7 separate regions of the Mus musculus genome follow, and all the other regions are reported to be linked to region 1. The links are microRNA targets in miRTarBase. Many come from high-throughput screens and were not tested one by one. Region 1 holds a microRNA gene; each other region holds the end of a gene's coding sequence.
The links. Region 1 holds the annotated microRNA mmu-miR-26a-5p (UUCAAGUAAUCCAGGAUAGGCU, at 1,368-1,389, shown strand). A microRNA usually pairs through its seed, bases 2 to 8, with sites in the 3' UTR of a target mRNA and lowers its output. Matches are read on the target gene's strand: a 7mer-m8 pairs with bases 2 to 8, a 7mer-A1 pairs with bases 2 to 7 and ends in A, and an 8mer does both.

Region 1 (4,361 bases):
CCTGGTCCACAAAGCGAGTCCTTGTACAGCCAGGGCTACACAGAGAAACCCTGTCTCAAAAGCTAAATAAAAATACTGTGAATGATTCTCTGCCTCATGCATGCATTTGCTTTTTACCGTGTTTATGAGGACCCTTTTCTGTTAATAAATATTAGGTATGATCTCTGATTTGATTTCAACTTTTAGGAGCCTTTGTGCAATCCCCTAGTTGTCCCCACCGCTGGCCGGGTTTGACATCTGGTCAACTTCATCATGCATTTGCTTTTGGCTTCTCCTAGCAACAGGAAAATGCCACCAGTCACCCACTGACGGAGCATTCTTGGGAAAAATGTCCACTTTGATGCCAACTGCTCCCGTGAGAGCTTCTCTGCCCATGTGGTTTTCTCCAGTGTCTTTTTTAGCAAATACTCAACCCAGAGCAAAGGGGAAGGGTGTGTTAAGACCAGCAGGGTGCTGTGCATAAATTGTCATCGTCAGCTGGCATCAATCTTCTTCCGGTTTTTGGGGTTTTCTGTTTTGGGGTTGTTTGTTTGTTTGTTTGTTTGGGGGAGTTGCTTCTTCTTTATTTTTTCTTCGTCATCAGCAAGCTCTTCTGGAAATGACTTCGTCTATGAATACATTAGAAACATGGTAGAAAAGCTCGCCTTGGAGGTTAAGGTAGATATAGTTTTGCCACATGTTTCTTAGGAGTGATGGGACAGACTGTCTCCCCCATCAAACTCAAGGCCTTAAGGGGAGAGTATCTGGCCTCATATCCCAGGAAGGGACAGACATTTCCTGGTTCCTGGGCCACACAGGATGTCATTTCTTAACGATGCCAATAAGGCTCCTTAACTCTTGAGTGCAGTTTAGAACAATCCAGGGCTGTGAAATCAGCTGTTTTAGCCATTCCGTTGCCCAGACAGAAGGTTATATATGACAATCATCAGGATAAGATTTCCTGACTCCTAAGCCAGGGCTCTTTCCTTAGACTTGGTTCCCCCTGTCTCCCTTACCCCCACCTAGCTCTCTATCCTGTCCTACAGGACATAGGACCTGGGAAGGTTTCAGGCACCTGGTCACTTACCATTCACAAAGCACCAACTGAATTAACTCCACCCCCGCCATGCAGTTAGGACCTCTGCGCTGGTTGTTGTGTCTAAAGTCGAAGAGTCCTTGAGGTGAGGCTCAGGAGGACTGCCCAAGAAAATAATTCTTCACACCACGTGGCCACAAGCACGTCCGGAGTGCAGGACCCACCCCGGCTTCCCTTGCCCCTTCTCTTTGGCAGTAGACACCCCGGGCATCAGGGCTGGGAGCAGAAACTCCAGAGAGAAGGAAGGTACAAAAGCTGGAGGACCGAGGCCCTGGCGAAGGCCGTGGCCTCGTTCAAGTAATCCAGGATAGGCTGTGCAGGTCCCAAGGGGCCTATTCTTGGTTACTTGCACGGGGACGCGGGCCTGGACGCCGGCATCTGGGCCCAGGAACCTCCTTTCTGCTAAAGGCGGCAACAACAGAGTTTCCCCCGTCCATCTCCAACCCTTTGCCTGTAGCCAAGCTTGCTGGCCAAGCAGTCCTCCCGGAGACTCAGGACCGGAGGCCACACCCAGTCACTGGCACCAGCAACAACGAGTGTTATGAGCAAAGCAGGTCCTGCAGCTGCTACAGCCACACAGCTCTGCCCTCAGCCTAGCCCAACACCCCAGCTCAGCAGGATCCTGGTGGCACCCAGGATAGACCACCTATATTCCTCTGGCCCCTCTCTCCACCCTCAGCTGCAGAGCCAGACCCCCAACCCACTCCTAAAGCTAGCCAGCCGCTTTCTCTCCAGGTCTTTGCCCTAGGAAGCGCCTTTTCCTGGCATGCTGCAAAGCAGTGTTTCCATCTAGGAAGTCTGTCCTGCAGTGTGTTTTCCTTGCATGGGGTGCAGTCTTGTGTCTCCTCTCCCTTTCCGCAGCCCCCTCCCCTGCTCTGTCTGCCCTTAGAGGCCCTGTGGCTTACTGCTACCTTTAGCTCTTTACCTTAACTGCTTCCTCCCTGAGCAGCCTCCAGGGCTTCTCTCACTGCCTATGGTTGGCTGTGGACACAGGCTTTGGCCCAACACAAACCCAAGTGTTGTGACGCTTCCGATCCTCACGTTCACACTTTGCTCGGGTTGGAGGCTCAGCTCTCTCTCTCTCTCAGCGTGTGAGCTCCTCTTTATTCAAGGTCAAGGCCAGATGTTGCTTTCTGAGACGCCCTCTGGAAGGGAGAATTATCTTGAATGAATACCCCACTGTGAGATTTCTTGTGTTCACTAATTTCTGTCAGTGTGTGCTCAAGACTGAGTGAGCTGAGCCGGCAAGGCCCACCACACGAGTCTCCAGAGGATTGGGGGCTCCAATTCAGCCTTGTAGCTGAACTGAGCACAGCGCTGAGACCTGGTAATTATGTTTTATTTTAAAGATGTAGCTAACTTCTAGTGGAATTTACTCAAGTTTTAATTGGTCCCTCCCTCTGCCCACTGCCTCTCCCTGGCTTTGCTTTCTCTCTTCCAGTTCCTACACATTCCTTTAGCCTCCAGAGACTGCAGCCTGGGTGTTAGGTGAAACCAGCTGCTTCGCAGGCCTGTCTGGTCTGATCAGAAGGATACACAGAGCCCAACTGTGGGAAGCAGCCCCTTACCCATGTGAAGTGCTTTCTGTACCCCTACACAAGCAGGGTGACCTCCATGGTGTCCACTAGAAAGTTTTCAAGTGCATTAACCCCAGGGGGCAGGGATGTTCAGAGTTGGAGGCCGCAGCTAGTCCTAGACTTCCAGAAGGACAGCACCTAGGCTGTGGCCTGTGGCCACATAGGGGCTGACTCAGCAAGTGCCAAGTGGATGCATGAGCAACTGCGACTGGACATGGCACAGCTGTGCTCTGCTTACTGGCTCCGAAGATACTCAAGAACCTTGACGACGTGGTCGGCTTTCCTTTCTCTCTACAAGGGTTGAGACGCAGAACCTAGTGCAAGCTTCAGTAAATCGTACATAGGCCTGGCAACAGGAGAAGGGCCCCTTGGCAGTTCTTCCAAGGCCCACGCTGTCCCTGGATGCTATGACTGACAGCTCTTGTCTCCTCCCACCGCAGGTGTATGTGCTGAAGCGACCTCACGTGGACGAGTTCCTCCAGAGGATGGGGCAGCTCTTTGAGTGTGTGCTCTTTACTGCCAGCTTGGCCAAGGTGCGTCCTTTTCGTCCTGCATCCTGTGTCCTGCATCCTGCGTCCTGTTCCCAGCCGTCATCCCAACCTCTCCACCCTCCACCACACCCCCCAAGCTGCCAAGAGCCCTTTGTTAAGGTGGAGGAAGCTATTTTTACGGTGACAGGTTCCCACCCCAGATGCGATAGATGCAGGCCATGTGCACACTGCTAGGCTGAGAGGTTTCTGGTTACCATGGTGACTGGGAGCATTTGGAACAAATGCTCCATGAAGTTGCTTTATGCAGCCACCTGAAACCAGTTATCCACAGACAAAACCACAAGACCCGTCCATTGTGACTGTGGATGGATGCAGGTGTGGGGGAGTCTCCCTCACGCATTGAAGAGCAGCCAGATTTTAGAGTCCCTGTGTCCCCGTGTTTGATGGCCACAGGTTTCAGGGAGGAACAAGTTAAGAGGCAGGTGTCAAGTGTCACTGGCAGGCACAGAATGTTGGGAGTTCTGATAGCCTTGGGAGCTGAATGGTTTCTGGTAAATTCCTTTACCTCTGGCACATTGGTTTCTTCTTGTCTAATTGGGGATAATTCCATCTGCCTGTTAGAGTTCATTAAATGAAATGGCCCATGTGAACGGCTCAGCACAGCCCCAGATTCCCATCAAGCAGACGTTCATTGAGCCCTCACTGTTCTCTGGGCACTGCCATGGACACTGTCGCAGGGTAAACACTCCTGATGTTCAGTATTTACCATCATAAGCACCAATAGCATCCAGACAGGCTTCACAGGTGAGTTGAAAGCAGGCGGAGTAGACCCTAGCTCGCTCTCCCAAATCCTTTCTGTGCCGACCGTGACTCTCGCAGAGTCAGTCAATCCACTTAGCAGAGGCACCTGGGTCTTCATGGGTACCTGGAAAACTCTGAGTGGCCCCAGAGATGAGATCTGTGGTGTGCAGAATTCCGGGAGCCACTAGCAGCTCCCTCCCCCACGGCCTGCCTGGGATAGCACCCATCCTCATCTGCCTGTTGGATCTTCGACCCCAGGTCTTCAGCCCCACTCTGCTGGCTGGGGCATTCCTGGCTGGGTCTATACTCTATGCTGACCAAGGCAAGAGCCACACATTCTGCTCCACCAGCGTCGTCAGCCAGCCTCAATGGGAGCTGCTAACGAGTGATCCCGAGCCTGGGTTTTGATCTCATGTA
Region 2 (4,361 bases), not on the chromosome of region 1:
TAAAAGAAATTTTAAAAAATTGGAAGAAAGAGGAGGGAAGAGACTACATGTTCTTTTCCCATAAAATGATGGGAACTTAGATGTATCACCTCTCTTTGTTTTTAGCCAAAATTTGACCTTATGGCCTCACCTAGCTGCAAAGATGCCTGAGAAGTAACAGTTTTCCTCATCCCCTGCCACCATGTATGCTTAGCTGAAATAAAAGAGGAAAACAATGCCTCTCAGCAATGTGTGCCACACACAGAAGCAGTTCCATGTGTGATACTTTACTGTATGCATGTGGACTTCTATACATGGACTACATGGGATCCATGAACTGTGTTTCTCTGTTGCAGGTTAATCCGAATGGTCCAGCCTGGTGCTGGTGGACACTGGCGGTTCTTCCTCTGGAAAGCAGAGCTCAGCTTCCCTTCCTAGCAATGAGGTCCTTAAAGGACAGATTGAATGGTATTCGGCGTATCCTGGCCTTTATATCGAGAAACCAAAATTAAAGGGACTGGATTGTGGAAGAGGAATTTCTACCCTCTCCACTGCCCCGAGGCAATGTTCTTGTAAACATATCTAATTGCAATAACACCTTAACAGAAGAGAGTACCCTAGATAGATGTTGTTATTCTTTTTGACCACACAGAAATGAGGTAGAAAGACCAAAAGGATGTGACCTGTTTGACTTACTGTCTTCAAATGCTTCTTGAAACACTATACTAACACACAAATAGCAGAAGTGTGAAGAAGTCAAAAAGAGTTGATGTTTAGCATCAATTTTTCTGAAGTTAAAAAAGTGAGTTGTTGTTCATAGCTAAATGAGTGTGTGGTTGAAATGTCAAGCAGAGATACTAATGTTACTGCATTCTTTCACTGACTTGAGGTCTCATTTCAAATGGTTCAGGTTTTATAAAGCATTGTAAAAAATAATGTTCATACTTCTTTCTGTTTTAATAATTTATTTTTTGCACTACTGCGTCGTTTTTCTACATATATGTTTGTAACTATTTAAGTGTACATTACTGAAAAGTCCATTGCTTTATTTATTGATGTGGCTTACTCTGTAGGGAGGATAACAGTACTAACCATGTGCAATGTTCTTTCTTTACTCAGTTTTTGTTGAATTAATCCCAGTTCTTGTTGGGCTTTTATATATACATAGTTCAGGTCTATTCTAGTGGACTAAGTTTAAAAGAACTTCAGAAGAATTCTAAAGTAATTCATCTTCACAGATTCCACATTTTCAGTTTAATTTAAGGACTAGAAAAATGCTTAATTGATTTGGCATAAATTGTGGGATATACCAAAGTAAAGTAAAAGAATCCATTTTCCATGTGTAATACAGAATAAGGTTGAAAGACATATTCAAGATCAGAGAGATGAATTACAGGTGTCTTTTTATTACAGTCTACTACTATAGGTATTTATTTCAGGCAATCTAATTAGAAAAGTATTAATTTCTCCCCAGTGCAGTTAGGGAAGAGATTAATATTTACCTGTATTTTCAGAGGGGATGGCTTTCAATTTGGCGTGCCTCTCCCCTATCTTCTGAGTTCTGAAGTTTAAAACCTGTACCAATGTGTGCTGGAATACTTGAGAGACTGTTCTTAAAGTGTGAAGAAACTGGATAGGTTAGAACCCCTTTTAAATTACTATAAAAGATCCAGAGAATGAATCCATGGTTTTATGTAAACACTGCCTTCCCTCCTGGTAAAGATGGGCCAAAGATTTCAATGCAGGGGGAGAAAAGACAGTGAAGAGATGGGAGTAAGTTTCTGAGCTTAGTGCTAGTCTGAGTCCTTCGGTGTCAGAGAAACCTGAAAAATGGAGTGTGGGAGTGTTATAGTGGCAGAGGAGAAAATGAGAGTTAGGAAAAGTGAATTGTCAGATTTTGTTTCTCATGCAAACTACTCCCAGGTGATTTTGGACAACTATGGTGTGTTATTCACGTGTAGGCTCTCCATTCTGTTAACAAGAGAGGGGGTTCGAAGAAGGAGAGAGATTGCTTCAAGGATCAGTCTAGGTTCTTCTATAACCACCAGAAACATGGAAGAGGTGGGGCTTGTGTGTGTGAGAGAGATGGTCTCTAAATGCTATAAAAGAGACTCATGGAAGCAGAAAGCAACTTATCACTGACAACTTGCTTGATGGAGGCGGTGTTGTCAGAGCATTGCCAGGTCTGTTTGGAATAATCTGGGCTGGTGAAGAATGATGCAAGTGTAGGGAATGTAAATAAAGAAGTAGATACTATCCAAGTTAAGTCTAGAGGGCTCGGAAAGCAGGACATTAAGAGGATTTTTCCCTGGCACCTGATACCCAGCCAGCCATGTGATTATAGTGAAGTCCTAGTATGACTGCTTCCTATTCTATAGTGCAAACACAACAAAGAAGAGCAGAAGCTTCTCCACTTACGACATATGTTACTTTGGCAAGTAATTTAGCTTCCGTTGAGTCCCAGTTTTCTTATATATATGAAATGGTACTTGTGCTCACATCAGCAGTACATATACTAAAATTAGAATGAAACAGAGATTAGCATGGCCCCTTCACAAGGATTGTAGGCAAATTTGGATAGTGTTCTATATATTTTACTAAAAGATGAAATTGTAGTGATATTAATAGTATATAGGCTTGCTAGGAACATTAAACGGGACATGTAAGAAATTACTTAACAGTACCTTGATGTTGGGAGCTATTTGGTGAACTATAACTATTATCAGCCATGTTGCAGAATATCATCAGTGGTCTACAGTTGCATGAAGCATTGCTTTTACTTGTAATTCTCATTTGTACCCTACTGTAAATCCAAACCACTGATTCTTGGACCACAACTTGATAGTTTGCAAGTGACTCCTATTGGAGTTAAGGCCAGCAAAGTAGAGCTGGGGATACATCTCAGTTGCTGACATGGCATGGGGCGCTGATTCTCTCTCCAGTTCTGTAAAAAATAAAATAAATGTAGGGAAAATTAAAATACTGGAGAGAAAATGAGGGTTAGTTGTAGGGACTAATTTCTATGCCAAGAAAACTGTTCCCATTTTAATTAGGGCTAAAAAATAGTGTCGTATTGGGGGACATCTAGAGTTCTTGATAAAATGGGAGCCTTAAGTTCTGGTTCCATAAGAATAACCAAAACCATCTCTCCCTCTTTTTCATATATTGAGAATCTCAACTAGAACAATTAGATTTCAGAACAATTAGATTTCACCATCTATGGAGTTTGCACACAGCCAATAGTATTTCTTTCTGCTGCCCCAAATAACAGGCTCTACAATGATGTACTGAAAACCTACCATGTACCAGGTACTAAACTGAGTGAGTGATCTCGATCTCCCTTACCTGAACACATGAAATAACCTTTTAAACAGCATCATTAGATATATAGATAAGAAAACATAGGTAAGAAAACAGAATGGACAATTTTAAAGAATATGCCTATGTAACATGTTCAGTGAGTGGCCAAGCTTGATTCTGTACCAACAATGTGACAGATGTTTGAACATTTTGTGTTATGTATGTTTCACTCAGTAGGCATGGCAAAACCCCTAAGAGCTCAAAATGAGGAGTTCCAGGTGAAGTCAAATGAAGCCGTCCAACACATCTCTTACTAATCCAGGGGGAAAGTGGATTTTTGGCTTCTTGATACAATTCCTTTGATAAGAGAATACCCAAGAACAGATGGAGATCTTTGCTAGGCTAAATAGCACTTTCCTCTGAGCCTGGATCTAGATTGGGTTGTTCTCCAGCAATTATAGTAACGGCAGGATACTAGGCTTTGACTTTCTTTGGGATGTACATAAGTGGGCTAATCCATCGAACTTGACCACTTTTAACACCTGTGGATAGGTTCTGTTTCTAAGCTCAGACATGAGACGTACAGAGATAAAAACTATATCTGAGTTGGAAGGATAAGAGTCCTCCTTGTAGACAGTGCCACTTTATTGGGTTAGTCTTTCTTTCTATCTTGAATTCATGACTGACCCAGACCTTGTAGATTATTCTCTCTCTCTCTCTTGTCTGTGTGTGTGTGTGTGTGTGTGTGTGTTCATGTGTGCACACACACAAAGAGACCCTAGGTAGCAAGCAGACTTTATGCCTTTCTGCTTTGTACCGTACTATTGCTGCTAGCTAAAAACCAGCAAAATGTAGAAAGTGAAAACTGAAGAAACTACTTTGCAGTGGATAATTTTAAGAAAAAAAAAAGATGCTTGCTCCTCATTTAGGGGAGCAGAGAACTATTCCAATAGCATGCCTTTTCTGAAGGCCACGTGCTTCGAGTTCCGTGCTGCCTCAGTAGCGGGATTGAGTTGTGATGGCGCACGTGGCACTGCCACCTCTGCCTGTGGAGCTGCCCTGGGTTCAGATAATCCCCTGTG
Region 3 (4,361 bases), not on the chromosome of region 1:
CATCTTCCCACAGCGGCTGGGTGACTGCTCTGGTGGTGGTGGGATCCAAACCTGCCGTGGCGGTGCTCATGCTGCTCGTCGCCCTGCTCTTCACCGGCATCGCAGTGCTGGGAATCGTGATGCTGAAGCGGGTGAGGGCCGGTCGGGAGAAGGTGGGGCTGGGGAGTGAGATCATTGGGTCCCTAGGGGCTGCTGAGTGGAACATTAAGGAAATGGGGCAGGGCGGGTGGGTTATCAACTAATGGACTTTCTTGGGTGGGTGAGTTTGTGTGTTTGGAGGGAGTGCCAACGCAGAAGGAACGGTACAAAGCAGGAGACTAGTGAGTGGTGCCATCCTCCTGGGATGGGAGGGGCCTGCCTCCCTTATAATCTCTTCCCTCTTGCAGATCCACTCCCTGTACCGCCAAACGGGTGCCAGCTTTCAGAAGGCCCAGCAAGAATTTGCTGCTGGTGTCTTCTCCAACCCTGCGGTTCGAACTGCTGCTGCCAATGCAGCTGCCGGAGCTGCTGAAAATGCCTTCAGGGCCCCTTGACCCCTGCTGCACCCGCTGGGATGCCCTGGGCCTGTCACCTGTGGGAACCAAGATAGTCCCTATCCCTGAAGTCTCTGGGATTCAGGGAGCCATCACCACTTGGTGACTTCTATGGGGCTCTTCATTCCACAGCCATGACTTTAATCCTGACTTGAGGTGTGGAGAGCCCGCTGTGACTCAGTCATTATTTGCCTTTTATCTCCCATCTGGCCACACTGCTGCCGCCACCTCTCACACAACCCCAACCCCAGTTTCCTTCTGCTGTGCCAAGGATGTCTTCTTCCGTTATTTAAATTAAAGAAAAAAAAGTGTAACTGGAACTCACCCATTTCCTGTATCTTTACTGGAGATTGGGCCATTGTATGGAGTGGGGAACTGGGGTGGAAACACTCTGCAAGGAGAGGGTTGCACTTGGCAAAGTGGGCAGGCTGATAGGCGGGAGATGGGGGAGCCCCAGCTCGGTTTACCATGCCTCTGTTAATGATGAATGAGCAGTCAGTCCCTTTTGGTGTGAACACCTCATCCCGGGAACCTGTGGGGCAGAAAATGGACCCAGAAATGATCCTTAACTGCTCAGGCTTCAGGGCGAGGCTAGGGATGGAGGAGGGCCTCTCCCTATCTCCTCCCTTCCCCAGGGTTGCTTTCAGACTACAGCTCCCGGGATGCATTGCACCACCCACCACACCCCTCCTCCGCACCACGCACCATCCACCATCCCCCACCTCCACAGGCTGACCTGCTGCAGCTGGAGGAGCTAAGGAAGCCGAGCATGGTGGGGAGGGGAGCGGGTCTGCGACTCTGGAGACAGTTTCCACGGCCTCTCCCCACCAGGCGGCCCTGAATGGCCAAACGCACCTCTAGTTCCTGCATGCAGACCTTCCCCCTCTCTGTAGACTTGTTTGCATCCCTCTCGCTTTTGCCCTCCCCACCCTTGCCTGGGTTCCGGAACGCTACTCTTCAGTCTGGGATCAGCCCTTCTCGGCACCCCTCTTCATTAAGGAAATGCAATGAACCGGTGCCCTCGCGTCCTCATCGCCTCCCCGGGCACGGTACCCGTTTGGTGGTGGGGAGGGAGCCCCTCACTGTCCCTTCGTGACGCCCCTCCTTTGGGCCTCCTTCCAGCTGGCGTCCCTGGGCGATGCCCCAGAGGACCTAGCCAGGAGGTGGGCTTTACAGCGAGGGCTGTGGAAAGGATAAAGAACCAGGGCTTGGGTGCTTCTGAGATGCTCACAAGTATCAAGGGGGACCGAGCGAGGTGCGAGCAACTGGGCGGCAGGCATGATGCCCTCGCCCAGTGACTCCAGTCGCTCGCTGACCAGCCGGCCCAGTACCCGGGGCCTTACCCACCTCCGCCTCCACCGACCCTGGCTCCAGGCCCTGCTCACGTTGGGGCTGGCCCAGGTGCTCTTGGGCATCCTGGTGATAACCTTCAGCATGGTGGCCTCCTCTGTCACCACCACCGAGAGCATCAAGAGGTCCTGCCCATCTTGGGCTGGGTTCTCGGTGAGTGGGGTCCAAAGAGTATATAGTACTGGGGTGGGGGAAGCTTCTTAGGCCCCATCCCTCCTCACCTGCAAGCCCACATGGTTGTCTTTCCTTCTTCTCCCAGTCCTCTCCCTCCTTGCAGGGCTGGGTGCATCCTGTGGCAAGGGGCTCACTTAGGTGCTTCCCCTGCCAAGCTGAGCCTGTGCCCACTCTGTCCCTAGCTGGCGTTCTCCGGGTTGGTTGGCATTGTGTCCTGGAAGCGGCCATTCACTCTAGTGGTAGGTGCCAAGGCCCGATGCCCACTAGGAAGCAGGTGCCCAGCAGCGAAGGGGATTTACCCCCCCCCCCCCCGTTATGCCTCCCAGGAGCTTTCCAGTTGGTATAAGGCTAGCAGAAGCTGTCTGAGAAGAGGGTGGCTCATTCTGTGGAAGAGGGATGCTGCTGAAGGTCCCAGCCCTGAGATGCCACCTTCTTTCCCTCAGATCTCTTTCTTCTCCTTGCTTTCGGTGCTCTGTGTCATGCTTAGCATGGCTGGCTCTGTTCTCTCCTGTAAGAATGCTCAGCTGGCTCGGGACTTCCGAGAGTGCTCCATGGTGAGATTTGAGGAGGGAAACCTGGAAGGAAGGGGTTAGGAGAGATGGGAGGAAGCCGTGAGTTTGCTCTGACCCGGGCTGCCTTGCCCTTTGCACTCCCACACAGGAAGGGAAGGTCTGTGTATGCTGCCCACCTATCCCCCTACACAGACCTTGCCCAGAATGGGGCCAGGAGCTGAAAGTTGCCCTCAACTCCACCTGTGATGAAGCCAGAGGGGCCCTCAAGGTGAAGAAGCCCTCCCCAGCCCTTCCCCCTACACTCTTATTTTGGGTCTCCTTTGCTCCCCTCCTGGAGTTTTCAAAGGCTCAAGTGTGTAAGGTTTTTCTGTCCCGGGCCCCTTACTCTTCTCCTTTATCTTCTCCAGAACCTGCTCTTCAGTGTCTGTGGCCTTACCATTTGTGCTGCAATAATCTGTACCCTCTCTGCTATTGTCTGCTGTGTCCAGATCTTCTCCCTGGATCTGGTGCATATGGTAAGAAGGGAGCCAAGGCCCAAGCAGACAGGGGTGGTGGGAGCTGGGTTTGTGTGTATGTGTGTGTGTGTGTGCTGGGCCTGGGCCTGCCAGGCATAGCTACAGGTGACCTGAGGATATTTATTTCGGGGATGTTGAGTGCTGAAGGGAGAGTGAGGAAGACTGGATGGGGTGGAATCTGGAAGGTCCTAGGATGAGGAGGGGATAAAGGATGGGTAGTTGTATGGTGACAGGGAACAGGTGACAATTATGGATAGATGTGAAGCTAGAAAAGGAGAGATATATGGGTGGACAAAGCCAGAGCTGGAGGTTCAGCGTGAGGCAGGATGAAGAAGCTGGGTGTGGCTGAGGAAGGGTGGAACTGGATCTTCTTGGTGGAAGTAGGGCCATAAAAATAGCAGAAAGGGAAGAAATTTGAAACCAGGCTTGCTCTCTAGCAGCTTGCCCCTGAACGGTCAGTCTCAGGCCCCCTAGGGCCCCTGGCGTGTACATCCTCGCCTCCAGCTCCTCTCCTACACACCATGCTGGACTTGGAGGAATTTGTCCCGCCTGTGCCCCCACCACCCTACTACCCTCCAGAGTACACCTGCAGTTCAGAGACAGATGCACAAAGGTAAGGCTGGAGGTGGGGGTGGGGGAGCAAGGGGCTGCTGGGGGGAGGGACTGGATTGCTGGGAGGCATAGCTGTGGAGTAGGAGTTAGTTTCCAGACCCTGATCCTCTCCCTCATCCTGCCAGCATCACGTATAATGGCTCCATGGATAGCCCAGTGCCCTTGTATCCTACTGACTGCCCCCCTTCTTACGAGGCCGTCATGGGGCTGCGAAGAGACAGCCAGGTGAGGAAAGAGCTTGGTGTAGCTGGGAGCAGTGCATGGAGCCAAGACGGCTGCTTGCAAGGATACCAGCCTGCTGGCATCTTTGATCTGCCCTAGAGCTGCTGAGGTGGGTGGGAGATGAACTAGTATTTCTCTTTTTTGTTGTTGTTGTTGTTTTTTGAGACAGGGTTTCTTTGTGTAGCCCTGGCTGTCCTGGAACTCACTCTGTAGACCAGGCTGGCCTCGAACTCAGAAATCCGCCTGCCTGCGGGGATTAAAGGTGTGCGCCACCATACCCGGCTAATATTTCTCTTTTAAAGATGTGTAGTTGGGGGCTGGCGAGATGGCTCAGTGGGTAAGAGCACTGACTGCTCTTCCAAAGGTCCTGAGTTCAAATCCCAGCAACCACATGGTGGCTCACCTGTAATGAGATCTGACACCCTCTTCTGGTGTGCCTGAAG
Region 4 (4,361 bases), not on the chromosome of region 1:
GAGGCCAGCCTGGTCTACAAAGTGAGTTCCAGGACAGCCAGGGCTATACAGAGAAACCCTGTCTTGAAAAACCAAAAAAAAAAAAAAAAAGAAAAGGAGCTGGACTGGACAAGGCAAGAATGAGGTTTGACATGAGCAACCTAGTGATTTAGAGAGCAGGAGCCTCATTTCCTAGTGTCAGTACGCTGCTTAGAGAGCAAGAGGATGAGAAAGACTCCGATAGTACTGGGTGGTCAATCCAGGGGTCATGCTGACAAACCGGAGTGAGGCCAGGCCGAAGAGATTGATCATCCACCCAGATTAGGATAAAGTTTGGGGTTATGTGGCTCTGCTCCCTTTATGAGTCCTGAGATCAAACTCAGGTTTGATCACGTTATGAGGCAAGTACTCTTAGCCACTAAGGCATCTCACCAGAGCAAATTCAGATTTTTAAAGTCACTTTCCTGGGCTGGGGAGATGATTTAGCTGTTAAGGGCTGCTCTTCCACAACACACAAATCCAGTTCCTGGCACCCACATGGCTGCTCACAACGGTCTCTAAGTCCAGTTCCAGGGGACCTGACACCCTCCTCTTCTAGCCTCCTTGGGTGACAGGCATACACATGGTACAAAGACATGCAGGCAGGCAAAATACTCATACACATACAATAAAAAGGTAGAAAAACGTAAAAATCTGAGCATGGTGGTATACATCTTTAATCTCAGCACTCCAGAGGCAAAGAGAGAGATAGTAGATTTCTTTGAGTTGGAGACCAACCTGATTTACATAAAGAGTTCCAGGTTAGCCAGGCTACAAAAGTGAGTCTGCCTCAAACACAAAAAAAACTCCAACCAATACATAAACAAACATTTTAAAAATTAAGACTGTTTTCCTAATTCATCTCTCTTCTTACAAATATGGAGAATTAGAAATATATTTGGATCACTTTTACTTCCCACTATGTTTAACAGTTGTTGCTTCATTTTCTAATTAGTAAATTTACCTATGAAGTCTTACTGTCCATTTTATCAAGTAGTCTGCAGACAATCTGATAACCTGTACAGCTATAGGATTTCTTTTGGAGTATCTGGGTTATCTCTGATGAAAATATACGCAGCACGCCTGCTATTAATACAAGTAACATCTTGCTCTGATATACAGTTGTAATAGGGGTCTTGAATCTTCACAATGGCCCGCATACTTTACTCAAAAAGAGGACTACTCATTTAATATCTAAACAATAGTGCTTTATTGAAAAAGGTTAATTTAAATGGATACAAAGTTGAAGTGTGAAATGTTTTCAAAATACATTTCTACAAGTACAAGTTACTTCTTAGTGAAAGAGCAAGTATCTGTTAGCAAAAGCAGTAAAACTGAAGGGGGTTAGAATTGTGGCTGCAAGACCTCACAATCCACACTGCCAATATTAGATGTCAGCTGACCCGAAGTAGCACCTTAACTCAAAAACATGGGACTCACACCGAATACTTGGGAATTCTTTCATTTTTTTGTTTTTAAATTTTTCTCCAACAAACTTAATGTCAAAATAAGCCAAACAAAGGACTGCATGGGTACTCTAAAGTCATTGACGCTTTTCTTGATAGGAACTTCACACAATGAACTTCCCTGATCACTCACAGTGATGCAATGTGAAGAGGCAAAGCGAGCAAATGTATTTTTCCTCATTAAATTTATAAACAACCATGCTTAAGCTTCATCTTATTAGTACTACTGAGTTTTGGACTGAATTAAACGTAAATCCCTGCCTCATCATCAATCAAGTCCTTCCTCCTGCAGCAAATGAAAGCACACAGTTAGCACCTGCTTTGCTTCTCCACACCACTGCCTCCTTCACCTGCCCCTTCCCTTCTAAGGTCACTGCCTGACATTAGAAGACAGGGTAGAAGAGGGAAGTGCCAGAATATAAACCAGGCAGGACTCTGCTTGCCTGCTTGGGGCACAGATCTGAAAAGCCTTTCGTTCATGGTGTGAAGACATTTATACTACACACACTGAAGAAAATGACAGTGCCTGGAAACAGATGAGACAGTCTGCACATAAAAAACCCAGCACTGCTATTTTCCTTTCAATAGAAGGATCACTGAAAAGGGGAAGAGTTAGACGAAAACCTGGCAGGCATCTGGGCTTCAAGTGGCCTTTTGTTCAAGAGCACCACCCAATCACAAGCCTGGGGTTGGATCCATGCCAGCCAAGGACTATGATTTCCACTGCTATGACCTTTTGCACCTAGTTATAGAAAGTACATTAAAGTGCAGTATAAAATATAAACATTTTGGTTTCTTTAAAAAAGTATTGCCTTTTTAGTTGAGTAAAAAGTTTACTGACTCTTCCTTATAAAGAGTCTTGTTACAATATGAAGCTGGAGCTCATAGCTGCTTTGGTTCTCTCCACAGCATAGCATAATCAGCATCCACAGTATAAAAAGTCCTTGTAGTGAGCTTTCTCTACAGAGGTTTGAAAATGATCTGGCACTAGAATCCAGAGCTCTTAAAATTCAACCCTGAAATCCTGCTTTTTAAAAGCTATTTAAGTATAAACATGTATCTCATTAGATAACTCTCTTCTGTTCTACCTGGTTAACAGATAATTGTGCAGATGAATAAGCCGAATGAACTACAGCAGCAAAATTGGTTTTAGGTGTTCTGTACAAATATAAAGTTAACAATGTGACTTCAATTCTAGTAAGCAAATAATTTGCCACCAAGTATGCACAACCACTTCTGTCACAGGTACATCAATGTCCACCACACAGGAACATTCTGAGCATAAAAATGTCTAGATAGAAATCAAAGAGTACTTGTCAGTGATTAGTCAGGCCAGCTATATCATAGAAATTCACTATTAAGAGTATACATGTTGACTGATTCTTAGAAATAAATTCTAACATTAGTGGTTCAGGAGGAATAAAATATCAGAGTTTTCCTTACAAAATTTAAAGTGTAACAATGAAATATAAATGTTAAAAGTACTTCATACCAAAGGAGTTGGGGGGTTGAGGGCAGAAAAAGAAGGAAAAGAAAAAAAGAGTAAAAACAAAAACCACCAAATGTTAAAAAAGAAAAAAAAAAAAAAAAAAAAACCCCAACCAAACAAAAAACAAAAAACAACCAACTGAAATCCTCAGACACAGGTGCTTCATTGTGGATGGGTGCCCTTCCTTCCACAGGGCTAAGAACCTTGATGCTGTAGCACTTATCAGGAAGTCTTTCTTATCCAAAGTGTTTCCTGGAAAGTAAAAACAAAACAATTTAAATGGAAGTGATGCATTTGTTTCTTACAGCACTGGCAATCCTCCCTCTGCAGAACAAAGGGCATAAACTGAACTAAATCAAGATGCCTTTATGAGGTTTGTGGAAACTGACAGATACTGTAAAACAGTGCTCAGAATTACATCAGATCACAAATCTGAGTGACACGCCAATTTTCAATGGTCACAGCACGGTTGCCTGAGAGGCCTAGAGGTCTACACCTAGGTGGCCCTTATCTAATGGCACTGGTTCCTCTTTCTGGCACCTTTACTATTTTTTTTCATCTGCAGAAGACTTTAATAAATTAAGAAAGTTCTTTTTAAAGATGTTTCCAATATTAAAGAGTTTCCAACACTATTACTAATAAAAATTTTAATTTTTCTTTAACATATTTAATTTTTTCTTTACCATAAACTATATTGTAACATTAGAAAATAAGAATATCTTTACTAGACAGTAGGTGGCAGCAGAGACTAGTTTCTGCTTTTCAATGAAAGGTTACTAACACAGCTAACAGCAGCGGACTTGAGAGAGAGGAGCCCATAGTCATAGGGGAGTCACAGTCATGGCTGAGCTGGCAGTGAGCCCGCCCTCCCTCCCCACTTACCAATATGAAAGCTCGGCCTCACACATGCTGCCCGAGAGCCCCGCTGTCACTGTCACCACCCTGCATCTGCATCTGCATCTGCGCTTGCATTCTTGCAATCATCTCTTGCATGCGGCGGAGCTATGAACAGTACATGTCAGATACAACGTTGGTGTTGTCATGCATTAGTTTCCATTGCTTTTCTCAAACACATGTTCAAATAAACCTTATAAACCAATATAAAAGAATCAACTATAAAAAAACCCATGTAAATGACAAAATTTATGATTCAAATGAGACAGAAGTTATCAATAAACAGAATCACTAAAGACTAGTAAGACAATGAGGCAAAAAGAAAGCCTGCTATTACCCTTTGGAGAACACAAAGGATGAATCATCTTTTCTGCTCAGCAACAAGGTCTTAGCTATGAAAACAAAACTTTTCCCTTATTAATTTTTTATTATTTTTGAGACATATTATCACTAGCTCAGGCTAGATTTAAACTCCCTCTGTAGCCAAGGATAAC
Region 5 (4,361 bases), not on the chromosome of region 1:
TATAAATAGTACTTTTGCCCCCACAACCCTGCAGACTATCTTTGCAGTAAGCTCTTCTGAAAACAGCACCTCAGCTCTTGCTGATGTATCATGGACCCAGTTTAACATCATCATTTTGACAGTCATCATCATTGTGGTAGTGCTGCTAATGGGATTTGTAGGAGCTGTGTACATGTACCGAGAGTACCAAAATCGGAAACTCAATGCTCCCTTTTGGACCATCGAGCTGAAAGAAGACAATATCAGTTTCAGCAGCTACCATGACAGCATCCCCAATGCAGATGTGTCGGGATTGTTAGAGGACGATGCCAATGAAGTGGCTCCCAATGGGCAGCTGACCCTGACAACACCTATTCATAACTACAAAGCCTGAGAAGCTGAGTTGTCCTCCTGGATTGTCAGAAAACAGTGCTCACTTAAACAGCACCTGACCTCTGGCTGCACAGAGCCTAGGTAGAGTTTGTTGAGAAAGGTATTGTGCAAATGTTCAGGTACAAACTGTAGTGCGCTTAGCCTGTCTGTTGCTCTTAATTCCCCCATGAAGATCTGAAGCACTCATCATCGAGGACTTGAAGTAAAGTATATTTTTGTAGCAAACCACATGTATATATGGAAAGGCTGAATCCCACAGAGCAGCCTAAGTCTACCTGGCCTCTCAAAGGACTGCTCGGAAAGTGTTCACCTCACCAGATGTGATAGAATGTTGATGTGGAGGGGAAAGACTGATGGAAGAATTCATCTCCACTTTGGAAACATATTTTATAAAAGAGAGGCAGGGATTGTGTTCATTTTACTGTACTAAGAGATGTAACTTAGGAAGAGATGATATCTAGGCTAATAAAAAAAATCTTGGTTGTGTGTAGACTAAGAAAGGTGCCAAGAAGTTCTGTAGAAGGGCTTGGCTTTCCTTCTAAGAGTCTCCTTCAAAAATGGAGTTAAAGCACAGGATAAGCTTCCATGGTGAGGGTAGGCACAGCAGGCAGAGAGCAGAAAGCTGATGGTCTCCTCAAAGAGGTTCCTGCCTCTAAAGAAACAAGGTGTACATAATTAATGTAGCATTATCTGGTCAACATTGTACTTGTATCTATTTGTAAAAAATCATGTCCTATTTTATCATCTAGACTTTATCTGTATAGCAGTTAATGGTGTTGTAAAAAGAAGATATGGGAACTTGGTTAAAATACTGTAAAATAGGTGACAATATTGCTAGAGCTGGGACTCTGGTGAGCATCAGTCATTTTAGTCCCTATTTGGACACTGTTGAAATTGATAAGAGGTCAAATGTTTCTAATCTTTCCTCTCTCAACCTAGAGTCATATGCTCTTTGACTTACCATAGATTCAAGCAATAGATTTTGAAGTCTGCAATTGCGAAACTGGAACACAGGCTGCATTCTCCAGACACACCTAATTAGCCACTCTGTTTTACACTGCTCAGTGTAAACTCCTCAGGAAAAGACTTCTTTCCTGAATGTAAAAGACAGTCTTCCAAAGGACAGAAAATTTAAATTAAAAAGAAAAGCCATCACATCACTTCGGGGTTCTTGTTTTTATGCCCATAAAATATTTATGTGCCTCCCATATCTGCCAAAATAAAGGCCTCTGACATTTGAGCATAACCTGTCACCCATGCACCATGAGGACTGTTTGGCTTCTTCAGTGCTGGAGTTCATCCATCTTCATATCTGGGCAGAGGGTCACTATGGGTGTGTATTTAGTCCTTGCTTTTTGATGCCATTTTCCCTGAGGCCAAGTACTGCTGCTTTCATTTGTTATGCATCCATAGGTTGTAGATTGAGAGCCAAGAAAAGTGACTCAGACTATGAAGTAGGGGAAAACAAAACAGAGTAGACCTAGGAAGCTCAGACTCCTTTTCTTACTTCCTCAGAAAAATAAAGACGTTGGTCATCCTTTGTAGGAGACCTCACCTTTTTCTCAGGGTTTAGAAATGACTGTATACTAGAGGATCCATAGGTAACCTGGGTGTGCTCTGCATTTTTGGCTGTCTTTATAAAGGTAGACATTACATCTCATTGTACTAAAACAATTTACAAGTGACTGATTGCCTAGCATATGAGTCTATGAGTTTAATCCTTAGAATTACAAAATATATTAATAATATTTTGCCCTTTGTCATTTAAAAAACACCTTTCCATGTGTTCTTTGATCCTCACCCTAGCCTCCTTAGGAAGTAGTCTTGTGCTCATTTCATAGATGAAGTAACTGAGGCACAGAGAGTCTAAGTTGTTCAGCGCTATACCATGCACATCATCATTATTATTCCTGGAATCAGTTCTCACCTCTACTTCATTGTCATTTTGCTATGTGATACATATAAATCTACTAGCCATGGGCCCTAGAAGACTGGAATGGAAATTCCCATTTGTGGATGCTTCTAATAGAGCCCTTGTATGCTCTCTAGAATACTACCCCCCCCCCCACCCCGCCATACCATGTGTATATATTGGGGTAGGGGAAGTATGTAACTCACAGGCACAATTCAGGGCCACATAGATACTAAGGACTTTGTTGAAAGAACACACATGGATTTCTACCTAAAGACAAGATTAATGACGAGAAGGTAAAGCTGCCAGTTCATTAAAATGAATGAATTCCTGAATTGGGGAGGGGAGCAGAGAGACTTTTCCTAGCAGTTGCAGCACAGGTGTGTATTGACTATACATCACAGAGTTCCAAAGTGCTGAGCACAATGGCTGCCTCCCAGATACCCCATCTCCTGCCAAAATAAGTGGAAAGGAGATAAAAGCCAAACGTTTGTTAAACAGTTCACACAATAAATAAATGTTTATATGAGTTTAAGAGCCAAAGTAAACAGTCGAGATTCCAGCTAAATAGAGATTCCATGATACAGATCTTAAGAGATAACACAGAAACTAAACCACAAATTTATCAAGTACCTGTTAATTGCTCCTAAATCATGTTTTTCACAATGAAAAAAGCTATAGCCTTAAAATGTGTTGTAAATAACATCATTTAGTGACCCCGTTGCTCTGCTTATACAAATTATTTTGTTGTAAAGATCAACCATGAGGTGATCTCTCCTTGAAAGTAGAGTAGGAAACCAGAATAAAACATGCTGCTGGGTTTTCATTCCTCTGGAGACATTATCACCCAATGCCACGAGTCCTCTGCAAAGCCCGATGCTGGAACAATTTTTGTCTAAGCATAAAGAAAATGTTGTTTTTAAAATATACTACATACATGACCTTAATGAGAAATGGATGTCAGTGCTAGGAAGGAACTAATGCTTGCGCCTTCAATAGCTCCCCTGATTAAGTCCTGTGCATTTCTGAAGGTGGATGTTGTACTTGTCAACCATGCCTTTGTTCCCTTACCACCACCATCCCCTACATTGCCTCCAAGGACTCTCCTATTTACAGTCTCTCCAGAGAAAGCAAAATGATAATTAAAATCTCTTATTTATATGAACATGGTGTGGACCCAGTACATTATTTTTCCCAGGGATACTTAGATTTTAAGGGAGAGCAACAGGACAGACATGGGCTGGGAGGGTAGGTTTTTATTGTTGTTTTGATTTGGTTTTTAGTTGTTATTGTTTCATTTTTTTCTTTTAACAAGACTATCTAAATCCCAAATTATATTACTTTTCCCTAGTCCCAATATTTCCAGAATCATTAGTCATCAAAGCAATACTCACTGGTCTACCAGTTAATTTGAGTTATCTGATCATCAAGATGTTGTGGTTTAGAATAAGAGTCAGTTAGAGCTTTATTATTCACCATTCACCCTGGTCCTCTGCTTTTTTTATGTTTATAAACATAAAAGTAATTCTGATGATTCTCTCTGACTTGGTGTAGTTTGAAGTGGTGTGTGGGTAGGAGGTGGGTTTCTGCATCTTTCAAGGAAAGCTCTCTGACAAAATATTCATATTCAGAATAAGTTAAAAGAATTCAGTGAAATCATTAGGACAACAGAAGTTGTGACCTAATCCATACACAAATAAATAAATGAATAAATAAATAAATACCTTTAGTCTGTTGGTACTTTTGACAGCAAATGGTTTAGGACTTAAGAGGTTTGGTGTCTGTCTGTGTTGTAGAGCTGGGGAAGGTGACAGACGGTTAATTTGTCTTTTGCTATCACTCTGAGCAAATGGCTAAGCAGCAGGAACATGGTGATTAACCTGAAGAAGTCAAATAATATTGAATGGCTAAAGATTGTGGATCATTAAAACATTAGTGGTTTGAATGATACTTTTTCAAAGACATTGAGAATCTTCCTTGTTACTTATGCATACACGGAAAGTTCAGCAGCCTTGGAGTGAGCCCAGAGCTTCAGATTCAAGCTTGCCCAAAGCTAAATGACTTCTAGTCCACTTTT
Region 6 (4,361 bases), not on the chromosome of region 1:
CATGTGTGTCTGTGTACCACATGCATGGCTGATGCCTACAAAGGCCAGAAAAGGACTGGAGTCCTATAGATGATTGTGAGCTACCATGTGGTTGCTGGGCCCCAGATCCTCTAGAGTGCTTCTAACCTAACCATCTCGTCAGTCCCTGGTCATTTTTAAGGACTCTTTTTAATACCACATACTGCCGACTGCAGTTGTTTAGAGGTAGTTTAGCTTTTCATTCAAGCAACCTTAAGAGTGCTCATGAAATACATCAGCATTCTCTCTCGCTTCCCTTGCTATAGGGCAGTCAAGGTAACCTCTAAATATAGTCAGCCTCTTGGAGCTATAGTTAAGCTGAGGGCTGAAGATGGCTTTGGGTGAGAAACAACAAACTGTTGTCTAGAGACCTACTTGTGGTTCCCAACACTGCGTCTCAGGCAGCTCATAACTGCCTGTACCTCCATCTCTACAGGATCCAGTGAATTAGGGCATTCTGTGCTGCACTCACACAAACATGTGTACGTACACACACACACACACACACCATACATTATTACTTAAAAAATAAGTTTTACCTTCAGGTTTCATTTACCTTCAGGTTTCATTTGTGTATGTGTGTGCACAACCATGCTGTAGCAATGAGAAAATTTGCATATTGGTTTTCCTTCCACTATGTGGGTTCCAGGAATCAAACTCAGAGATTGTTGGGCTTGGCAGCACCTTGACCACTGAAAAATGTCACGGGCCCCCAACATTTTGAGATGGTGTTAAACAGATCCATCTGCCCATGTCAGCTGGATGCCATTATATAGGCAAAGTCTAATTGCTTTGTTTTCTATTTTACAGGGTCCACTACTCAATTTCACTTTGGCATGAGGAGATAATCCGTTGAAACATTAATTGAATATTAAATAGATTCCCTTTTGTAAATCAATGGCTCTTTTGTGCTTTTGTATTGTGAATATTCGATGGGACCAATACATGCACAGCTTATGATTGTATACAAATCCTTAGCAGCAGCACATGAAGACAAACTGGAGTTTGTGTATATAAGCAATGTGTGTGTGTTCATGCACAGTAATCATTAAATTACATGTATATTTGTGGAATGCTAATTTAAGTGATTAAATTATAAACTTTGTGTATTTATCAGGTGGGTGAAAAGATTAAACTTTTTCAAATGACAGTGCTGCTGGACGAGTACCTTGCGGTGCCCTGCGCTTTTCTTACAAAGCTACTGAAGTTACATGTTTCTGCTTAATATATTTGCTACTGGTGATGAAGACAACATATCACTTGTAGAGACCTATTTTTGTATAATGGTCAAAGTTTTGAACTTTATGGGTATTTTGTCAAGTACTGAAATAAAAAGACCTCACCATTTTCACCTTACTGTAGTTGAACCTTCTTGATTTTTCACTAAGCCACAACTCGTGGTCCCTATCATCTTGTTACTTGTCTCAGCTCAGGATCCAAAGTGTGGTTTTGCTCTGCCTTCATTAAAGAACATTCTTAATGTGCCTGTTTTCAACACTAAGGTGGCACTGGTGTTTATGATTAGTCCATGTTTTATTACATTTCGTGTTCTTATGTCCAAAGAGACTTACAAATCTAGACGCAGAAATCAGCTCTCAATATTAAATTGTATCCATAAGAGTGTAGCAAAAATCAGGAAGCGTCCTGCTAAGCCAGCCAAATTCTAATTGGAAAAGTCTCAGAGAGAATACTGTTCTCCAGAGGGCTCCCTACTAGCACTGCACTGACTAAAATAGCTGTGGTATTGGTTTACATCTGGAAAAGAGTGTTTCACTATTAATGGTCTCTGCACTACATGAAGACAATCACAAAGCTGTGCATTGCTGGGAATTTCTAATTTTATTTCCCAAATTTCAACTAGGCTTTCTAAAAATATCAAAACTATTCTAAAGCAACTAGTTGAGCAGGAAAGTTGTGCATTAAACTCTTTAAAAAACTAATACAGTTGCCAAGTCAAGACAGTTCAGTCGGGAAAAGGCAGATGGACAGGTGCTTGCCAGCCAATCTACCCTACTGCTAGTCTACCCTACTAACACCCTATGGCCCTCAGCCTCTGCTGTGTTGTTCACAATAACTTAATAGCTCGTCTGTGGTCAGTATCTCAATCTGGAATTCTAGTGCTTGAGCCCTTTTAAATCTCAGCACTGAAAATATGTCAAAGTCTAAAACTAGACAGTAAACAGGACAGCCTTACTCAAGTCACAACTCTGCCAGGAATCTACCAATCTGATCAAAGTCTAGAACCCCTCTAGGAATAATAAAGACAAAACATCTACATTGGCAAAGAAAATCTGTTACTTAGAAACAATCATCAAACTTTAATCAAGGTTTTAACCTAACACGTCTATGACTTAAAAGTCTTAACAACCACACAGTAAAAGGAGGGACTTGATCAAAGTCTAGAACCCCTCTAGGAATAATAAACACAAAACATCTACACTGGCAAAGAAAATCTGTTACTTAGAAACAAACAGTCTTCAAACTTTAATCAAGGTTTTAACCTAACACGTCAAATGTAACATCTATGACCTAAAAGTCTAACAACCACTCAGTAAGAGACAAGCACACTTTTGAGAGGTGAGCAACTTTTGTAACTTGTTATGAAAATACCTGATTTCTCATGGGGCATTGATAACAAGAGTGACTTACCTAAATAACCAAAGATAATACTAAAAGGAACCTATTTCAGGCAAATAGGATGTAAGCTTCCATATGCCCAGATTTCATGAACTGTACTTACTGAAGCACAAGTTCAAATTCATGAATACAAACCAGTAAAACTTTCTCAGAGAATTTTAATGTGGAGCCTTTAACAGCAGAGATTTAGGCCTTCACTGGGAGTCTTCAAAAGCCTCTTAAAACTGTAACGGAGTTTCAGTTCCTCTTGCTACAAGGAAACACCATGACCAAAAAGCAAATCCCGAGGGTGAAGGTGGGTTATTTGGCTTACACTTCCATATCACTGTTTATCATCAAGTGAGGACAGGAACTCAAGCAGGTCAGGAACCTGGAGGCAGGAGCTGATGCAGAGGCCATAAATGAGTGCTGCTTACTGTTTTGCTCCTCATGTCACGGTCAGCCTTTCATAGGATCACTAGCGTAGGGATGGAACCACCACAGTGGGCTGGAGCCTCTCCCATTGATCACTTATTAAGAAAATGCCTTACAGCTGGATCTCATGGAGGCATTTCCTCAACTGAGGCTTCCTTTTCTCTCTGATGACCCTAGCTTGTGTCAAGTGCCTAAGACCAGCCAGTACACATACTTTTAGAGAAAAGAGGTTTTATTTTGGGGAGTGTGTTAGTCTTGCTCCGTAGCCTAGGTTGGCCTCAAATTCTCAATCCTGCCGCAGGTCCTGAATAACAGCATTACAGGTGTGCAGCACCACTCCAGCAACAGAGCTATTCTTACTCCTAACACAGATTAAGGGCATGTCACAGAGTTGGGTCCGTGGTTACAATCTGTTAGGTTGTCTCCTGAGCACAGAATACGGGCAATGATACCATCTCCCATTCCCCAGTCTCAAGGCCAGAACTCACTAATCTCAAAATCAGACACTTTTAAAAGCCTGGTAAATTTAAACTTCCCAACAACAACAAAAAACCTTAAGCCAAATTAAAATAAAAAAGTCTTACAAGGATTTGATTTTGGATTTTTCACAAAACTGTGACCATTTGGGACCAGTAACATACATAAGCACTCTTTAGATTTTATTACTTTTAGGAATTAAGGTTATCAAGGCAAGGTTCAAGATCGCTGCCATCTTCCAGGAGCGGTGCTCCAGTTAACATTTCAAAGGACACACCACACCATCTAAGTAGCGTTTACTTCCACCTCAAGCTTCGCAGTAAACTTAACCTTTATCCTTTCATATCTTTACGCACAGAAGTGGCCCAACTACACGACCCCATTACCTTTGTAGCATTTGACAAGGCTTTGAAACTTCAAACACCAGTTCCAAATCTCCCTGTGGCAATGTGTGGAGTTAATTACCTGGATGCTGCATTCTATATCTTCTTAATTCCAAGACACACCCCCCCAAATGATTTCTAACATAAACTTGGCTTCCCTGAAATCCTATCAAAACTACTATAAACTGTTTCAAATGCCATTCGGTCTGACAAAAATCACCGAGTTAATAAAACATTAAAATCATAAACTGGCTCTCAGAACCACACTCTTCAACCCAGTACAGCACGAGAGCTTCTCAGAGGCTTCATTCTTTGCCAGCTGCGGCTTGCGGTCCTCTCTCCACACTGGCTTCTTGTTCCTCTTCTCATTTTGATCGTCGTTTGTAACGGATTACTGGGTTTTCTGGGGTGTGGATCATTGTTGTATAATTC
Region 7 (4,361 bases), not on the chromosome of region 1:
TATGCATCCACATAAACTTCACATGAGCGTTTGTCTAGTGTGTATCCTAAGATTTTTCTAAATTCTCTTCCTAGTCCCTCTGTGCTAGGAGTTGAATCCAGGGCCACAGGCATGCTACATTCACACTTGCCTCTGAGCTATACTCCCAACCCTGCCTCCTAGGAATAGGAAGCCAATAAAATACAAAACAAGACCAGGAGACCTTTCTGGGTCAAGTAGCACAGGCTGGCCTTGAACACCTGGATCTTTCTCTCTCCTCTTCTCAAGCACTGAGTACTTAGTGTTCAGAACTTTCAATAAATATTTTAATAACCATGGAGTGCCTGAGCACTTGACAAAGCAGCCCATTACCAAAGAATAATAACTTTTGTTTATCATTTGGGTGTGGTGGTTTGTTCTTTGCAAAGCATGTACAAAAAACATGGCTCACCTCAGTAATTCCAACACTCCAGGGGCTAAGGTTAGAGAATCGCTGTGAGGCAGCCAATCCAAACTACATAGTAAGACCCAAATATTGGATTGGAAACTAGAGAAAATCCTTTATAGGAAGAGGGAGACAGCAGAATTCCTGGAGGAAATCTGTGACAAGAGGTGCACGCTAAGAAAGAAAGCAATTGAAGAATTCTCGGTCTGTACTTTTTTTTCTTTTTCTCCCCCCCCTCACCCCCCACACATTCCCACTGGGAGGCCAGCTGTACAAGCATCTGTGTTGAGAACTGGATATAAGTCCATGACTGCTCTTGTTCACATTATGAACTTACTAAAGTTTCACGTTATTACTGGACCTTGAAAAGTCCAGTTCCCACTTCCTCCCTAGTCACATATCCCTCAGTTTTTGACATCAGCACTCTGCCAAACTCAGGGGCGCCAACTTGCAAGTGGGAGCCCCAGTCTGTAGTGGCAGCCCGGACTCCTGCGCCACACCGCCCCCTCGTGGTCACCCCATGTGGCCTTGGCTTCCCGGAGTCCAGCTCCCCAGCCCCAGGTCTTCCACCCACCCCCTTCACCTCCCAGTCCCCTCCCCTTCCTCCCGACAGCATCCCCTTCCTCTTGGTCCCTCTCCCCCCCGCCGCCACCCCCGCTCCGGCAGTGTGCAGGCCGGCGCCCACAGGTCCTGGCCGGGCTGGGCCGGCCACTTATCACTGCCCCTTGCATCGCAGTTCGGAAGCTCCGGAACCCTGCGTGTCCTTTCCCCCTCACCTATTCCGGAGCGCTGCCGGCTTCGCTCTCACTGGGCCCGCCAGTTTGGTCCCGTTTCTTTCTCTAGTTAAGACTCCTTGCCAGCGGCCTCACTTTTCGGCCTTTTCACATATGCATATTTGGGGGGGCCCTTACCCCCCCTCACGGAGAAATGGAGGCAATAAAATGGCGGACCCGGAAGTGAAGGCGCTGTGACTATACGTCCTGGCGGAGGAATCTGAAGGAAATGGGTTAGCGGAGCCACTTTGCCCTTCTCTCAGGACCTCAACGCACCTCTGAGTCCGACTCCTTCCTACTGAGGACCTCGTGAGCTGGAAAAACGTATACCGCGGGCATCCTGAGCGGGACTACTTAGCGAGGCGCAGGATCACCGATTACGTGGCTTACGTGAGGGATAGTTCCGGCAGGGGACGGACGCAGATGGTAGTTTTGGCGCCAACCAGTGCAGCGCTCGGAGGAACTGGTTACTGGTGCGTGTTGGCGTCCGCACTCTACCTTCCTGCTGGTTCAACGCCGGGCTAACTTGAGGGTTGGGGGAGAATCTTGCTTCCGCTATTCGGGACCTTCTGGTTATGCACTCCTGTCTGACCGGACACTTTCCCAGTGTCCTGAATATAGGTCAGGAAAGAACCCCTGAACTTTTGGGGGGAAGACTAGAATAGGATGGGACATGAAATTGCATGTCTTTCATTTACCAGTCTATCTTGGTTTCTGTTCACCATTTTAACTGATATAAGGACCGAGAGAAAGCTCGGAGAAAACCTTTCAAAAATCAATAACAGGACGCTGGAGCAATGCCTTAGGAGACCCCAGTTCAATTCCCAGCACCCACATTGCAGCTTACAACTGCCTTTAACTCCAAGATCTGACACCCTCACACAAGCAAGCATACATTTAGGCAAAACACCAATGCACACTAAAAATTAAAATCAGTAATAATAACAAACACGCCTTTGATCACAGCAGGAGGCACAGGTCTCCTAATTTAATACCAAAGTGCTAGGCCCACCCTAGCAGAGTCCAGCAGAGTCAGGTGGATTTCTCTGAGTTCAAGGCCCGCCTCCGAAGAAAACCACACAAATTTAAAAGTTAATAATGGGCTGGGGGGCGTGGCTAATCTCTGAGCACTGGCTGCTTACAGGGGAACCCTAGCAGGGCCTTGTAGATGCTTGGCAAGCCCTTCTACCATTGAGCTATGTCCAAATCCTAAATTGTTCTTCAAAGTCAAATATTAGACAGACAGAAGGAAGCGCTGGAGAGATGACTCAGTGGTTAAGAGCACTGACTGCTCTTCCAGAGGTCCTGAGTTCAATCCCCACCAACCACATGTTGGCTCACTTGTAATGGGACCCAATGCCCTCTTCTGGTGTGTCTGAAGAGTGCAACAGTGTACTCATATATAGTATAGTAAATCTTTTTAAAATAAAAAGAAAAGCTTCACTTAAAAAAAAAAAGAAAGAAAAAAAGATAAAAGGGAAAGCTGGATTCGGAAGTGTGAGTAAAATCTGTAGTACTTCATTGGAATGGAAAAAACTAAGCCCCAGACTTAGGATTTAACGTCTTTATTCCATAAATGAATAAACAGCTCCGCAATTCATCTGCAATAGCTTTGGAAGGAATGGGGACGGGTAGGGTCTGAACATAACTGCTTACTTCACGGTCTTATGGCGGCCAAAGAACTGTGTCAGGAATCACTGATTCCTATCACATACTGCAACTACAGAAAGGCAAAGCTAAAATACTTAGGACCAAAACATCTGCCTGTTCCATGACAAAATCACAATTTTATATAAATTCCCCTAATAATACTCTGGTGTTTCTTTAGATCAGATACATCTTTTGTCTTTTAGGAATTATCCTCATAGTGAAGTTTCCCTGTGAAGACTCAAATCTGATTTTCTGAGCATTTCTACCCACAGCTGGAAGCAGAGCTGGATATTAAAGGAGCTACCTCTGAAACGGTGCGATGTTTTTCCTCATCCCACTCCTTTGTTTCCCACCTTTAACTGCCTGCGTGTTTCTGGGGAAGAGAATGCATTGTAAGCAGCAGCAGCATTTCTTATCTTAGCCTTTTAGAAATCCTGTTTTGTAGAAAGTGTCTCAAAACTTCCAGGTTCTCATTACTTCTTGAAGCAGTATTTGCTTACTGGCCTGGTAGAGGACATTAGGGAGGCTCAAGTAATCTTTGAAGTTGATTAAAATGTAACAAACAAACAAAATAATTGGTCTCCCATTTTGCACAACTGTACCTCTCTGTGGTGCCTCAAATAAGGGTGATTCTTTTCTGGGATTAGTTAATATTCTCCGGGCTGACGGGAGGAAATCCTATGATCTAGTACTCCATTGATTAAACCCTTGACTTTGTGCCTAGAGGGCTTTTGAGAGAAACGGAGTAGGCAGATAAATAAATAAATAAATAAATATAGATAGATAAATAAGTACGTACATACATACAAACCTACAATTCAATTGGCAGATTCATCAGCACCACCAGCACAATAGAGGGAAGAGAACAAGATTAAAGTGGAAGGCTTAGAGAGGAAGGGACTTAAGAGGGAAGATAATGAAGGTACGGGGTGGGAGAGAGATCTTGGCCTTAAAGCAAGTCCAGGTCGACAGAGTGGATGCTGGCAATAGGCGCTCTCCAGAAGTTGAAGGTGCTGTACTCAAGGAGGGGGTCACCTTCAGGGTTCTTCTGCTCCGTCCCAGATGCCTGCCCGTTCATTTTGCCAACGCTGCTGCTATCCTTGCTCTCGTAGGTAGGTGTATCTGACAGGCCCAGGCCTTCCAGCTCCGACAGATCCAGTTCTGGGATGGGCATCCTCCAGAAAAGAAAGGAGCTGTACTGGCTACTTACAGGGTCCCTCATGATCCCCTGAGGAAGAGCAAATCACGTGTTAGTCTCCACGATAGAGCAAGCTCCTTGCCCCGTGCTTTCCCTTGCTTAAGTTGTTCTTTTCTGTGTGCTCTAGTGAATCAGTCAGGTTTTCTAAGACGAATATCAAGAACTCTTTTGCTATTTACCACCAGGCTCCTACCTTCTCCCCACCTCTGGCTGACCAGACTGCCTACTGCACAAGGTTCTTCTTGGCTCTAATTTTAGCTCTAGTAATATACCTCAGGCCTTATGCACACTAGGCAGGAACTGAATCATGCCATCC

Region 2: miRTarBase lists Lonrf3 as a target of mmu-miR-26a-5p. Seed matches in the 3' UTR shown: 7mer-m8 at 1,576-1,582.
Region 3: miRTarBase lists Scamp3 as a target of mmu-miR-26a-5p. The part of its 3' UTR that is shown has no 7-base or 8-base seed match.
Region 4: the mRNA of Septin2 is a reported target of mmu-miR-26a-5p. Seed matches in the 3' UTR shown: 7mer-A1 at 2,126-2,132.
Region 5: miRTarBase lists Megf9 as a target of mmu-miR-26a-5p. Seed matches in the 3' UTR shown: 7mer-A1 at 568-574.
Region 6: the mRNA of Akap9 is a reported target of mmu-miR-26a-5p. The part of its 3' UTR that is shown has no 7-base or 8-base seed match.
Region 7: the mRNA of Mllt11 is a reported target of mmu-miR-26a-5p. Seed matches in the 3' UTR shown: 7mer-m8 at 3,375-3,381.

The regions. Positions count from the first base shown.
Region 1 is chr9:119,030,444-119,034,804 of GRCm38, forward strand. Mir26a-1 (microRNA 26a-1) reads left to right here and starts at 1,353; the gene lies at 1,353-1,442. It overlaps Ctdspl (CTD (carboxy-terminal domain, RNA polymerase II, polypeptide A) small phosphatase-like), which reads left to right. Exons shown (of 8, transcript NM_133710.3): 6 at 3,093-3,185.
Region 2 is chrX:36,361,429-36,365,789 of GRCm38, forward strand. Lonrf3 (LON peptidase N-terminal domain and ring finger 3) reads left to right here. Exons shown (of 11, transcript NM_028894.1): 11 at 336-4,361. The coding sequence ends at 491. It overlaps LOC115489189 (a small nuclear RNA gene), which reads left to right and starts at 2,471; the gene lies at 2,471-2,574.
Region 3 is chr3:89,181,913-89,186,273 of GRCm38, forward strand. It overlaps Scamp3 (secretory carrier membrane protein 3), which reads left to right. Exons shown (of 9, transcript NM_011886.3): 8 at 14-131; 9 at 387-858. The coding sequence ends at 533. It overlaps Gm45927 (predicted gene, 45927), which reads left to right. Exons shown (of 19, transcript NM_001310017.1): 18 at 14-131; 19 at 387-858. The coding sequence ends at 533. Fam189b (family with sequence similarity 189, member B) reads left to right here and starts at 1,231. Exons shown (of 12, transcript NM_001014995.2): 1 at 1,231-2,036; 2 at 2,240-2,296; 3 at 2,501-2,611; 4 at 2,718-2,837; 5 at 2,977-3,084; 6 at 3,522-3,697; 7 at 3,822-3,921. The coding sequence starts at 1,812. Gm16069 (a long non-coding RNA gene) reads right to left here and starts at 2,515. Exons shown (of 3, transcript XR_003954659.1): 1 at 2,105-2,515; 2 at 1-1,065.
Region 4 is chr1:93,506,577-93,510,937 of GRCm38, reverse strand. Septin2 (septin 2) reads right to left here. Exons shown (of 13, transcript NM_010891.2): 12 at 3,856-3,975; 13 at 1,205-3,225. The coding sequence ends at 3,874. Among named protein-coding and RNA genes, the nearest start is that of Farp2, 3.3 kb to the left of the region's middle.
Region 5 is chr4:70,429,092-70,433,452 of GRCm38, reverse strand. It overlaps Megf9 (multiple EGF-like-domains 9), which reads left to right. Exons shown (of 6, transcript NM_172694.2): 6 at 1-1,526. The coding sequence ends at 373. Among named protein-coding and RNA genes, the nearest start is that of Cdk5rap2, 21 kb to the right of the region's middle.
Region 6 is chr5:4,078,831-4,083,191 of GRCm38, forward strand. It overlaps Akap9 (A kinase (PRKA) anchor protein (yotiao) 9), which reads left to right. Exons shown (of 48, transcript NM_194462.2): 48 at 829-1,374. The coding sequence ends at 866. Cyp51 (cytochrome P450, family 51) reads right to left here. Exons shown (of 10, transcript NM_020010.2): 10 at 1,844-4,361. The coding sequence ends at 4,295. Among named protein-coding and RNA genes, the nearest start is that of Gm40260, 3.8 kb to the left of the region's middle.
Region 7 is chr3:95,216,389-95,220,749 of GRCm38, forward strand. Mllt11 (myeloid/lymphoid or mixed-lineage leukemia; translocated to, 11) reads right to left here. Exons shown (of 2, transcript NM_019914.4): 2 at 2,156-4,075. The coding sequence starts at 4,069. The coding sequence ends at 3,797. Gabpb2 (GA repeat binding protein, beta 2) reads right to left here and starts at 1,554. Exons shown (of 10, transcript NM_029885.1): 1 at 1,201-1,554. It overlaps Gm16740 (predicted gene, 16740), which reads left to right and starts at 1,069. Exons shown (of 4, transcript NR_108026.1): 1 at 1,069-1,670; 2 at 3,051-3,161.